Linked DNA regions of Kluyveromyces lactis. Each later gene encodes a partner of the first gene's protein in a complex. Links are inferred from orthologs where the notes say so. Each region holds a gene or a part of one and is shown on either strand. Other genes may lie near its edges.

The links.
Region 2: SLI15 (region 1) and IPL1 share a complex: the UniProt entries of both Saccharomyces cerevisiae proteins name them as parts of the CPC complex. The link is inferred for Kluyveromyces lactis from reciprocal best matches to the Saccharomyces cerevisiae genes SLI15 and IPL1.

What each region holds. Positions count from the first base shown.
Region 1 is NC_006038.1:867,165-875,273, reverse strand, and holds SLI15 (Sli15p), read right to left. Parts: upstream 4,597-8,109; coding exon 2,572-4,596; downstream 1-2,571. Other genes in the region: KLLA0_B09988g (glycosyltransferase family 15 protein), read left to right, coding at 1-936; HSP70/90 family co-chaperone CNS1, read left to right, coding at 1,402-2,514; KLLA0_B09922g (uncharacterized protein), read left to right, coding at 5,133-7,526; ICS2 (Ics2p), read right to left, coding at 7,703-8,109. UniProt on the Saccharomyces cerevisiae protein: Component of the chromosomal passenger complex (CPC), a complex that acts as a key regulator of mitosis. Stimulates IPL1 kinase activity and facilitates its association with the mitotic spindle.
Region 2 is NC_006038.1:206,232-211,502, forward strand, and holds IPL1 (aurora kinase), read right to left. Parts: upstream 1,718-5,271; coding exon 632-1,717; downstream 1-631. Other genes in the region: MRH4 (ATP-dependent RNA helicase), read left to right, coding at 1-569; RKM1 (protein-lysine N-methyltransferase), read left to right, coding at 2,453-4,237; KLLA0_B02376g (uncharacterized protein), read left to right, coding at 4,646-5,044. UniProt on the Saccharomyces cerevisiae protein: Component of the chromosomal passenger complex (CPC), a complex that acts as a key regulator of chromosome segregation and cytokinesis.

The DNA.
Region 1 (8,109 bases):
GAACTATGGGATTTGGCTAAATCGATTTCATCTGTCGAAGATCGTTTCAACAATAAGTTTAATTATCCATGGATCTTCCTAAACGATGAACCATTTACCGAAGAGTTCAAAGAACGTATCTCTGCCATTGTTCCAAACTCTCAATTCGGTGTTATACCGAAGGAACACTGGTCATACCCAGATTATGTTTCTAAAGAACGTGCAGCTCAAACTAGAATTGACATGCAGGATATAATCTACGGTGCTTCCGAGAGTTATCGTCACATGTGTCGCTTTCAATCGGGGTTCTTTTTCCAACATCCATTATTAGCCGAGTTCGATTGGTACTGGCGTGTCGAACCAAGTACCGAATTGCTATGCTCCATCGATTATGATATCTTCCAACAGATGCAGGATAAAGACTTAGGTCTCGGATTCGTCATTTCTATCCATGAATTTGTCATCACAATCCCAACTTTATGGAACACTACTCGTGGGTTCGCAGAAAAACATTCAGAATACATCCATAACGACAATTTGTTGAAGTTCATATCCGATGATGGTGGTGATAGTTATAACTTGTGTCATTTCTGGTCGAATTTCGAAGTCGCCAACCTAAATTTCTACAGATCAAAAGCATACACGGACTATTTCGATTATCTTGATCGCTCAGGTGGATTCTTCTACGAACGCTGGGGTGATGCTCCCGTACATTCAATTGCTGCATCGCTTTTCTTGCCTCGCAACAAATTGCACTTTTTCCAAGATATTGGATATCATCACCCTCCATACAACAATTGTCCGTTCGACAGCGGAATTAGAGCCAAGGGTAAATGTTACTGTGACCCAAAAACCGATTTCACATTCAGGGATTACGCTTGTGGTATTCAATATTACGAGGCCCAAGGCATTGAAAAACCCTTTAATTGGAAAGATTATAGTGGCCGAGGCTATTGATATGGAATCTCACCTGGCCACCATCCACACTTATCATATTAATTCTCCCCTTCCCCCCATTCCCCACGATACTGATAGAACAATACAATTTGGGGCGCATACAGTTTTTTAAACTTTAGTACTCACTCTTATTTATTTGATTACTTGCCAGTATATAATCTGGTAATATTACCGGGTGTTGTAATGGACACCACCATTCACTAAATCACGTGGTTTGTTGATCTTTTTCTCGACTCGCCAAGAGAGCTTTGACACAGAATTTTACAAGTTCTAGGAAAAAAATCTCATCTCATCTCATCGAGCGGAAAGTGACTGTTCAAAAAAGCCAGTTACTCTGTCTCCACAGCTTCTGATAACGCACTTGGTATAGTCAAATTCCTGCCTGATTCACATCGTCAGAAATTTAACATTATCTGTATTATCTGAAGGGTTTAAAAGGAGGATATCTACTAAGGCCTGCTCACAATGGAAAAACCAAAGAGGTATGTTCCAGGTCCAAATGACCCACTTTTACCACCACAACTATCTGAGTTCCAAAATAAAACCACTGATGAGGTATTGGAGGAGTTAAATAAGATGCCATTTTTTATGAACAAACTTGACCCAGATGAAAGCAATGTAGAGTTGGAAGCCTTAAAAGCCATGGCCTATGAAGGTGAGCCCCATGAAATTGCAACTAATTTCAAGAATCAAGGGAACGATCTTTACAAGGGTAAGAGGTTTAAGGATGCAAGGGCTATGTATTTGAAAGCTTTGGATGTTAAATGTGATGTACTATCTATCAATGAATCTTTGTATTTGAATTTGGCTGCTTGCGAGCTTGAAATTAAAAACTATAGAAGTTGTATCAATTACTGTAGGGAGGCACTCAAACTAAATGCAAAAAACGTTAAGGCATTTTTCAGAATAGGTAAGGCTTATCTCGAATTGGGAAGGTTCGAAGATTCTCTCGAGGCCGTTCAAGTTGGGCTTGCCGTGGATCCTGAAAATGGGGCATTAAAATCCATCCAGTCCAAAGCTACTGAAAAGCTTAAACGTAAAAAGGAGCTGGAGAATCGTACTTTAGCTCAAAAACAGAAGGAAAAGGAACTCCAAGAGTTTTTGGATCTGGCAGTACAAATAAGAAACATAACGCTAGTTGATACCAAACAACCAGCAGGTCTTTTGAAAGATACTAAACTCACATTGGAAAACCCAACAGATTTCGAATCACAATTAATATTTCCAGCTATGGTTCTTTATCCGACTACGGACGAGTTTGACTTTATCGCGTCTGTTTCTGAACTATCCACACCAAATGACCTTCTTGATGTTGTACTTAACAGACCGGCAGAATGGTTTGCACAACCAGGGCACAAAGATTTTACTGCATCTAAACTTCATGCATACATGGAAACTCTGTCTGGAGGCTTGATCAAGATTGGTAAAAAAGTTACCTTCCATGATGTTTTGAAGATGGAGAAGCCTAAGGCTCCTCTTTTCGATAAGTCTCTAAGAGTATACTTTGTACCAAAAACGGAGGCACAAGGATGGCTAGATAACTGGGATAAGAATGCAGCAATAATGAAACGATTGTAGATATTACAGACACTAGATATTGCATTATATAGACACGTCACTATGAATTAAGGTAATTTACCTTTTCTTAAGTTTTTGTAGTCTTGAAGTGCTAGTTTGAAAGATCTCATCGATATGTAGCGGTGGAATGGGGCCTAATATTTGCTCTATATCCCAATTTTGTTGCAACAACAATTGTTGCTTTAGTTTTTCTGGCTCAGCCCACGAAGTCAGTGTCCGCTCTACTTGGTTATTACCTTCATCATCAGAAATGATTTCAGGTAAAGTAACATCGTTGGAAGTTCTTTCCGTTTTTGGTGGTGCGCCGATATATTCCCTATAATCAACTGTATTGATATCATGTAACATGGAATTTGTACTGGCAGATTTAGAGAGTGGCGGTAATGTTGCGTTGTTACGATCTAAAAGAATCTTTGTTCTTCTTTTAGTATCCTCATCTGCCTGAGAAATCCTCCTCTGTTGGAGTTCATACTTTTTCCGCATTTGTTGCTCTTGCTGGTTACGCATCACTTCACTCAACCGCTTATTCAATTTTTGCTTTAGCGTGTCTTTCTCTTGTTTGTTGCTTGAACTGCCAGTAATTAGCTGGAATCTGGTCAATCTATCGTGCGAATTGGTTCTTTGATCAGATGATGTAGGAGAGATAGACGTTGATTTATGAGTGGATAACTGTGGTATTACAGGAGGCTGCGATACTTCCTCTGGAAGCTGCTTCTTAGCACGAATGTTGTTGGTTTCATTTGATTGTGTTATATTTTCCCTGATTAAACCTTTTACTGGTGTAAGTTCTTTGATTCTTGGTATTAAAGACTTTCTTTCCGTGGGCTTCGATCTATCAATGAGGTTAGATACTCTTCTTCGCAGAGGTTGTGGTTCTTTCTTGTTATGTTTAGCTAATTGGGGAATCTTAGAATCGAATATATTCTTCAGAGTATGGTGAATCCTTTCCGTATGCGAATTATTTTGCGAGAGTTTTCGACTGGTGGGAGATCCGTGAATAGAGGCACCTGACCTTTGAGATCTCGTTGGTGATGTGGTACTTCTCTTGTTTCGGACAGGAGAAGCGGCTCTTCGATCAGCAGCTTTTCTTTCAAATGATTCAGTTAAATTATTGGAAAGCCGTTCGAAAACGTTTCCTTGATAACGAGGAGATTTCAACCTTGATTCTGAGCTATTGGCAGGGATATGCAATGGGGAGACTTTCAGTTTCTTTTCTTGATGGATCGGGAGAGTCGTCGGCCCATTGATTTTCCTCTTATGCTGACTTGGAGTTGGTTGAACTATTAACGGATCTTTGCTTGGTAAGGGTGCAAACATGTTGGATCGTCTCTGGGAACGATCGCGAATTGTTTTAGTCACCGAACTCAAATGAACTTTGTCATCTGCAGCGGAAGGAATTTGATTTCCCTCGTTTGTAATCTCATTGTCCTTAGTAGGTGGAGCTTTAATTTCATTTGTTGCTGTGAAATCCTTTGCATCCCTTTGTACCGGCCAAGGGAATGACTTGGTGACAGAAGACTCACGAGAAGCTCTCTTGATCGAAGAAGAATTAATCAATACTCGACCCGTATCATCTCCTAGGAGACTTTTCGGCGTTATAGCGGGTTGAAGGATTAACTGCTGCTGAACATTTGTATGATTGTTATCTTGATCCTCGATTTGTGTCTGCCTTGAACCTCGAAGCTCATTCCGAGAGCCAACTGACACGGGTTCCTGATTTGTTGCATTAGCTGAAACAGTATTCATTCCAGTTTCTTGATCATGATCACCACTTCGTATCTCAGTTTCATTGCTACGCGTATCTTCATTGTGTGCTTCATCTGTCTCATGCTCAGGTTGATCATCATTGACAACGCTCTTGTCAGGGCTTACGGGTGCTGCAGTGATAGACTCACCTCTGGGGAATCCAAGCTTAGCCATTTCCATATTAAGCCAGTCGTTACTCCTATAAAACACATCTTCGATTTCCTTATGCCCTTTCAGCATGACATCATTGAACTCATTGAGTGATTCCACAATAGATCGCGAACCACCCGTTTGGTTCTTGAGCTTCTTTTTGGCAGCCTTTAAAGCCCAATCCATCGTTTAAATTCAAAGCCACCACGGGAGCTATCCATGTAAAGCTGTGAATTTCTGAGCTGGGTAGAAATTGGTCGAGTCTTTACCCACAAATATAGAAGTACTGGGGATAAAAGCGTCTAAACTTTTTTGTTATTATTTTGGTTTTGATTCATTATATAAAACGACTTCAATTATACAAACCAAAACAACGCAAGTTTTGTCAGAGTACATGTTGCTGTGCTTGATACCGATTGACCTACACCGATATTTTGGTTCGGTAACTAATCAAACATGAGGATCAACCAGTTAGGATAAAGAAAGTTTGATACTATCCACGTGAATATCACGTGGATCATACGGAAAGAGATTAAACCTATTTTGACAATGGTAAGAATTTGAATACTTCAAGATATGATGAAAGCATGATATTTATGTAGGAAAGTTTACTCAGAAGTGATTTGAAACTGTTTATCAGGACAACAGTTTCCGATTCAAAATATACTGAGAGATTATTTCAACAATTGCTTGTTTGATGACTGCCTGAACTCTTTTCTTTGATGATTAACAAAGCAGCACCTGGGTTGTTTCCTCAAATTCAGTATGGGGTACCGGGGTCAAACGCTATTGAAACCGATGATGATCCCATTTATGGGATAAACAAAGATATATTTCTGCAGGTTTGTCAAAACTTGCCTACAAATTACGAGTCGCTCTTGAAAAGCGATCGTTTTTACATGAGTAAAATGTACTTTGCCGCAAATCCTTCCGCCGCTAAGACATTGGAATATACCGATTTCAAACAATTCAATAAGAATTGCGACAGGGAATTCAAACTTAGGAACAAGCTACAGGACTGGGTAAACAGCAACTCAGAATCGGGAATCATACTTCCACAATTCAATCAATTAGATGCAATTTTGACAAAAGGATACGATGTGGTAAAAACGAAGAATCATCATTGGCGAAATGCCATATCACATTTGTTCAATAAAAGACGAGTCACAGGATCTAGCAGCAAGCGTTATGAAATAGAAATGAATTATACAAACTCTCATGCTTCTACTGCGATTATTGATAATATAGGGCCAGAGCTTGATTTCATCGATTTCAAATTTGAGGATAACGACATTATGAAAATCCAGGAGGTTACCGTTAGTGACAATATCGATGAAGTTCCTATAGACAATCACCACAGAAGAAAATCTAGACATAATACATCATTACAACGTAAATTGAAAATACGACATCTTCAAATGATATCATTGGGAGCAACGATCGGAGTCGGGCTATTTTTGAATTCTGGAAGAGCGTTCTCCATAGCAGGTCCTATGGGCGCCTTTATCGGTTTCTTGTATGGTGCGCTAGTAATTTTGGCGACTCTTTTCTCGTTTGCAGAGATGGTGGCGTTTATACCCTTGATTACAGGTATCTCTGGTCTCTGCTCACGGTTTGTTGGCGATTCGTTTGGATTCACTGTAGGATGGTGTCATTGGTTATCGTATGCTGTAGCTTTCCCATCAGAATTGATAGCCAGTGCTATAATGATATCATATTACACTCCATTCGAGAAAGTAGCAACTGATAATCTATACTTGGGTCTTACCGTTACGATACTTATTATTGTACTTACAGGCATTAATTTATTGGACGTAAGAATATATGCTGAATTGGAGTATATCATGAGTGTGTTTAAATTGGCTGTAGTATTGTTCTTGCTCGTACTAGTACTCATTCTCAATTGTGGTGGCTTCCGCAACGGATACTTGGGATTCAAGTTTTGGACGAAGGATCGATCTCCTTCGCCAGATGTCACATTCGGACCTTTCAGACCAACATTTGATCTTAATGATTACGGCTCTGGTTCCAAGCAGGGTATTGGTGGCTTCGGCGGTGTATTGCTCAGTTGTATCACATGTAGTGTCAGTTCAATTTTCTCGTATATTGGTAGCGAAATTGGATTTATTGCAGCACCGGAAGCCGAGAATCCCAGAAAAGCAGTTCCAAGCGTAACCAAACGGATCTTCGTGCGAGTCGTGCTTTTTTATTTACTCTCGATATTCATGGTTGGAACTGTGATATATGCCGGGGACCCAAGACTTTTACGGATTATTTCAGACAACTCTAAAGTAACTGATCAAAATCTCGAAAAGTTTATGCTTATCATTGACCAATTAGGTGGAATGAACTGCAACACTCGATTGCAGAATGATAATATCTTTCAAGAGTCTTCAAATCAATCACCATGGGTGATAGCGTTTAAAGCAGTAAAACAATGCGATCTTGCGAATGTAATAAATGGGGTATTCGTTTGCATAGGAATTTCAGCTGCCAGTTCGCAGCTATATGCTTCGAGTCGGACTCTGTATTCTATGGCAACACAGAACAAGGCACCAAGTGTATTTACGTGGTGTACCAATGGTGGGGTTCCTTATGTGTCAATTCTATTCTGTGGCTCATTAGGATTTCTAAGTCTATTGTGTTTTGATTTGAGAAGCACTGAGGCTCTTCTTCTTTTTATCAGTATCGGTATCACTGGCTCGGTTGTAATGTGGTTCGGGATGAACTTATCCTTCTTGAGATTCTACATGGCTTTGAAAAGACGTCCCGATATAATTGATAGGAATTCCAAAGAATACCCATACAAGTCTCCTTTCCAGCCATATCTCTGTATCTTTGGCATGGCATCAACGACTTTCTTATTACTGATGAATGGTATACAGAATTTCTTTGTTTGGAAAACGGCGAACTTCATATCATCTTATTTGATAATCGTCATCTTTATCGTCCTGTATTCGGGATACAATGTCGTCAGAACAAGCACCATCAACCGCTTAGAGCAAATTGACTTGGATTCCGGAAGAAGGGAAATGGACAGAGTCCTTTGGAAAGAGAACGCTGATTACACATTGAATATCCAAGAACTTTTCCACAAAGTTTTCAGCTATGTTTAGGAACTAATCTTGAGACAATTAAATAAGGGCATTTTTGACAAAGCTCTCGATGAACATGTGTTCCAAATATAGCATATTGTATATTTATATATATTTATACATATTTATCATAACTTTGGAAATAAACAAAACAAAACAAAATAAAACTAGAAAGAGCGACAGACCAAATCTCAAGGTTACTCGGCTTTTAAGAAATCTATCAATGTCATCATTTCATCATCTCTCGAGGGAGATGATTCTGCGCTGCTTGTTTCTTCTGAAATAGCAGTTGAGAGTCTTTGTTCGAAATGTGGTCTGTATTTTTTGGTTCTTGGGGGTTTTTGGAGTCTGAAATCGTTCACGAAATCCAAATTTATTACTGAGTTTGAAACATTGTCACCAGTTTCAGGTAAGTTGGCAAAAACTGAATTATATCTATCTAATCCATTCAGCTTTGCGAATTGATGGAAATTCTCAAAATGTCCATTTGAATTTCTACGCATCTGTTCTTTAGTGTTTTCTATTGTCAATTTTGGCGAAGGAACTAACGAATGCTTGCTGATTGTCTCTGAAGAACCATCATCCAAAGACAGGGTTCTTAGGG
Region 2 (5,271 bases), about 660 kb from region 1:
AAGCTCTGGCTCAAATATTATACTCAATTAATAGAGACAACATCGACCCTGGTTTCGAAAAAAGGGTAGTAATTTTCGTGAATGAGAAAGAAAATGTTCCACTTGTCGCAACTAAACTAGCCAACCAATATGGACACGACGTTGTTGCCTTGACCGGTAATGATTCTGTTGAAGAACGTCTGGAAAAAATCAAACCTTTCATGGATCCTCCTAAGAAGATGACAACCCGTAAATCAGAAAAAGTGACTACAGAAAACACAGTAACAATGAAGATACCCAACTCAAATATTGTGATTGAAGAAATACCAGAAGACAATGAAGCATTTGTTGAAAGCACTTTGAAGGTTCTAGTAACGACAGATGTTCTAGCAAGAGGTATAAATTTCAGAGGTTGTCGATACGTTGTTCTATATGATATTCCAAATACTCCGGTGGATTTGGTCCATCGAGTTGGAAGAACAGGAAGAATGAATCAAAAAGGGTCTGTATTTATAATTACTGGAAAACGAGTAAAAAATTGGGTCAAAGCTATACCATCAATTGTTTCAAAGAACGTTTCCATTTCCTAGCAAAGCTAACTAATTTATAGATTCTCTTCCACTTGTATATAGAAATCTAAACATGATAAATACTAAAGATCTGTCCAAGAACCTCGATTATTTGCAATCCATGCATGAGATTTAACTTCCGAGAGGGGGATTCTCTTGGAAGGTTCAAATTGCAGCAATCTTACAATGAGATCTCTTGCCTGCGGTGAAACATTTAGTGGGAACTTGAGATCGCACCTCAAAATTCTTCTATATGTCATTTCCTTTGTATCCTCCTCAAAAGGTGGCGATCCAACTAATAGCTCATAAGTTAGAACTCCTAGGGCCCAAACATCTACTTTATTGTTATATTCTCTAGATTTAATGAGCTCTGGTGAAAGGTAATCTATAGTTCCGCATAAAGTCTTCCTCTTTTGTCCATCCTCGTTATATACACTCCAACCGAAATCTGTCAGTTTGATAGTGTTGTTGAAACCAATTAAGATATTCTCCGGTTTTATATCTCTATGCAATATGTTTTTACTATGCATATAATCCAAGGCATTAGCCATTTGATAAACAAAATAGGATGCCAGCGTCTCATTCAAAGGCCCGTTATTCTTCAAAAATTTATATAGTTCTCCGTAATAGACATATTCCATAAGTAGATAAACCCGTTTTTCGTCGTAAAAGAATCCATATAGCTGTGTCAGATTTTTATGTTTGAACGAACCCTGAATTTCTACCTCCCTCCTGAACTGTTTCTGAATTGTATATTGAACAATTTCCTTCTTTTCCATCGCTTTTAAAGCACAAATTAGCCCCGTTTCCCTATGTTTAACGCAATAAACTTTACCAAACTTACCTTTACCTAAGATCTTACCTATTTCAAAGTCCTGAAGTGTCATGTTTTCAAACTTATCGTTGTGATCATTCAATATTGGTACGCGGGTACCATGCGCGGTGTTGGGTTTCTTTACCATTAGCGATCTTCTAGGATTGTTGTTCACTGGTCCAGTGCTCAACCTATGATGAGACGAGGTAATCGAGTCTTTTTCATGTGCGTGTCCTCGTGATAAGCTAGGTCGTTTTCCTGCATTACTTAGTCTTATCGATAATAGTTTACTCTGCTGTAACAATGAATGCCTTCTTCCTGTATCACTTGCATCCCTCGATAACGATGGTCTCATGTTCAATATATTAATCTTGATGTCTGATAGTACCGTTGCACATCCGCCGTCGGATCTTGACCTGGCTTTATGACACAGTTTTACACTCTTCAAGGTGACGTTCTTTAACCTGAATCAGATTCATTTCATTATTTACATTTTCCCTCTCCAAAGGTAAACAAACGGAATCCATTATAGTGAAGCAGAAGAAGACGTAGAAAGACATAGACCGCGATAGATCTAGTATAAAGCTATAGTTGTCAAGGCTAGGTGATTGCTTTTCACTTTTGTCATTTGTATGATATGCATAATGGGTCTTTTTGATTCTTGATGGACTTATCGTGTCCCCGTTCTAGCATGAGTTTTTACTGTAGGCGCTATGTCATGTAGTAATCATGTTTGACCAGAAATAAACTTTCATCATTTAAATTGAATCCATAGTTATCAGTGAAGAAATTTCAGTGTATTTAGGGTAGCACGAACTTGGTCGAAGTAATCCGTTGGGAAACTATAGATCAAGAGGAATAAAGAGGCCTCAAATCGGCTCTTTACGCCATGGTAGTGATGATTCAGCTCGCAGATCTTAAGGAAAAAAATGAAAGTTACCCTACCACACGCATTAGCGTAATATTTACGATAGATTACTGATGCACATGAGATGAGCCGTAAACTTCAAGGAGGACAACTATCTTGATCCAGGGGAATGCCTATCAAGTGCTCAAGTTTCGAAAGCTACACGACAAAGATATATTAATAATGGATAAATTGGACCAATTGCTGGCATTTGCCAAGGACAATGGAGTTTCACTTCCACAAAATGTTGGATTTAAGAACGTGGAGGGGAAGGGTATCTGTTGCATTGCTAGTGATGACATAGAGCAAGCTGTCTTTCAATTGCCCAGCCATCTGATAATTACCAAGGATCTTTCGAACAAACACTTTAGAGATCAAGTGAAAAGCAAAGAACATCACAATACATGGTTGAAACTGTTTTTGAGCAAGCTAAAGTTTTCAGATGAGATGATCATTTTGGATAATGAAAACATCACAAAGCTATTCAGACCATACATTATGGCTTTACCATCACAGGTAGATTCTCCGTTGGGATGGAATCCATCTGAGCTTGCTCTGCTGAATGGGACAAACCTTTACACATCTCTAAAGGAAAAGCTACAATCGATATACGACGAATGGTGGAATGTCATAGAGGGGACTTCTTTTCAAACGCGACAGTACAACATTGAACAGCTCAGTATTGATGAAATATACGAGCAAATAACGAGTAAAGTATTTTCTGAGAAGATTTTGGACTTCTTCTCTTTTCCAGCGTTCTTATGGTCTCATCTAATGTTTACTTCAAGAGCGTTCCCAGAGAGAGTAATAAACCCATATTGTGATGAATATAATGTGATATTATTACCAGTATTAGACCTTTTAAACCATGAGAATAGATCAAAGATTCAGTGGTCATGTTCCAGTGAAGGAAGTTTTATATTTGAAAAACTCGAACCAGTTTCAAAAGGAACTGAAATATGCAATAATTACGGTGCTAAAGGAAACGAAGAGTTATTATATGGATATGGATTCGTAGTCGATGGGAACGAATTCGATAACCTTGCATTGAAACTCAAGTTGCCTTTACCAGTAGTTGAGAAGATTTTAGCAGATGGTTCTGTATACCTTCCAACATTTGATGACTACACAACTTACGCTTTCGATACAGTAAAGGATACCCGTGGAAACCAGAAAAAGACAAACGATACCAAACCATTGAAAGCCCTGGAAAATTTTGCTGATGGAATCCTTTATTTTATCAATGCTGATCTAGAAAATTTGAAACCGTTAATGGATCTTTTCTCACTTCTGAGTAAAAACGATAATGAAAGTGCACTATCATTAAGATGCCAACTGACAGCACTACAATCGTTGAAGAATGCATTGAAACAAAAATTGTACCTAATAATTGATGCAGAACCATTGGAATCACAAAAGGATTATGCTACATGTGAATATAGGAAACAATGTGCGGCGATTTACAAATCCGGGCAAATCTCGATTCTAAAGGATTCTATCAATAATATAAAGAGGTTACAAAAACACATACTGACTGCCTACAAACCATATCTAGCAAGCATAAAGAGCATTATGAAACATGACCGGGATTTTCAGAAAGACTATCACGAACTATACGACCAAACCAACAATGCCGCACCGGCAGATTTAATAGATGAATTTGAATATGCAGTCGCCTGGTTGATGGTGAGAACTCAAAAGCTCGCACGCAGCAAAGAAGCTTCCGAATACCTCTGGGTACAAGATCAATTTACTAATTACTTCTCACATTACACCGAAGACTCTCAAATTTCTAACGCAGGAAAAAGTCTACATAACTATTTCTTCCCCAATGGTAACGATAGAATCTCAGTGAAAACCATGGACTGTATCGCAACTTTTATCAATAATGAGACGTTCCTCATGGAATCATCCGCTTCGAATTCTGTGCCAGTATTTACAAAGTGCATAGACATCCACTACTCCTAAACACTCGATAAAGATTTTAAGATATTATGACCTCTCCGGCTTGGGTGCCCATTTAATTGCCTGCTGAGTGAGCAATAACAAAATCACGTGACTTCAAATGCAAAAAAAGAAAAGAATAATTCGGAACCATCGACTGAACTGGTCTGACATCTTGATTCTATGTAACAGTATGAGTATTTAAACGACAGTTCCAAAATACGTTCCAGTACTCGATTTCGACAGCAAGGTATTTGTCTATTCGGAATAGATTTAATAGAAGCTCAAATCACGCTAACGAGGTTTCGCAGGTTGCTGTTAAGACTTTACTGTTTTTTTCGGGTGTTTGATTCTACTAGTCTTTTTCGCTTACTACACTTTGATCTCTTATTAAGGACACAAATCCATACATCGCAGAATATTAGGCCGACAATGAGTGTGATATCAGATTCTAGCGTAGCTTTGTTTAACAAAATTCCATCTGGTGCGGTACTCTCCGGTGTTGTACTTTGCTATCTGTTATCTGGTGGTAGAGTCTCCATATCTCTAGCTCTAATTATAAGCTTCTTCATCCTCAAGAAGCATAGTTTGGAAGTATCTGAGAGTGGTGATGAACTAGAGAATGAAACACCCAAGAAAAAGAAGGGATGCTGTGGTGGTAAGAATGGTGGATGTTCCAGTAAGAAACTGGACGAATTTGGCATGCCAGTGAAGAAGAACAAGGGATGCTGTGGGGGTGCGTGTAAATCCAAGAAGGCGCAAGATCCTGCACCTGTGGTAGAAGTTGGTTACGATAACGAAATAGATTTCACTGATTCTTTTAAAAATTGATATCACCATCTTTAGTTGTTGTATCAATCAATAAGGGGAGGTGGAGCCTCACATATTTCGGGGGAAAAAAAAGAGGACGTGACGTCTGGCCACTTCAATAATTCGGTAAAAGCAGTAATCTTAGAACTCATATTCAAAATTCAGGGACACATAGGGTACTTTCAATATTGTCTTATTTATTTGTTAACTAATTAATTGTCATTTCATTTTTAATTACTGTTATTTTA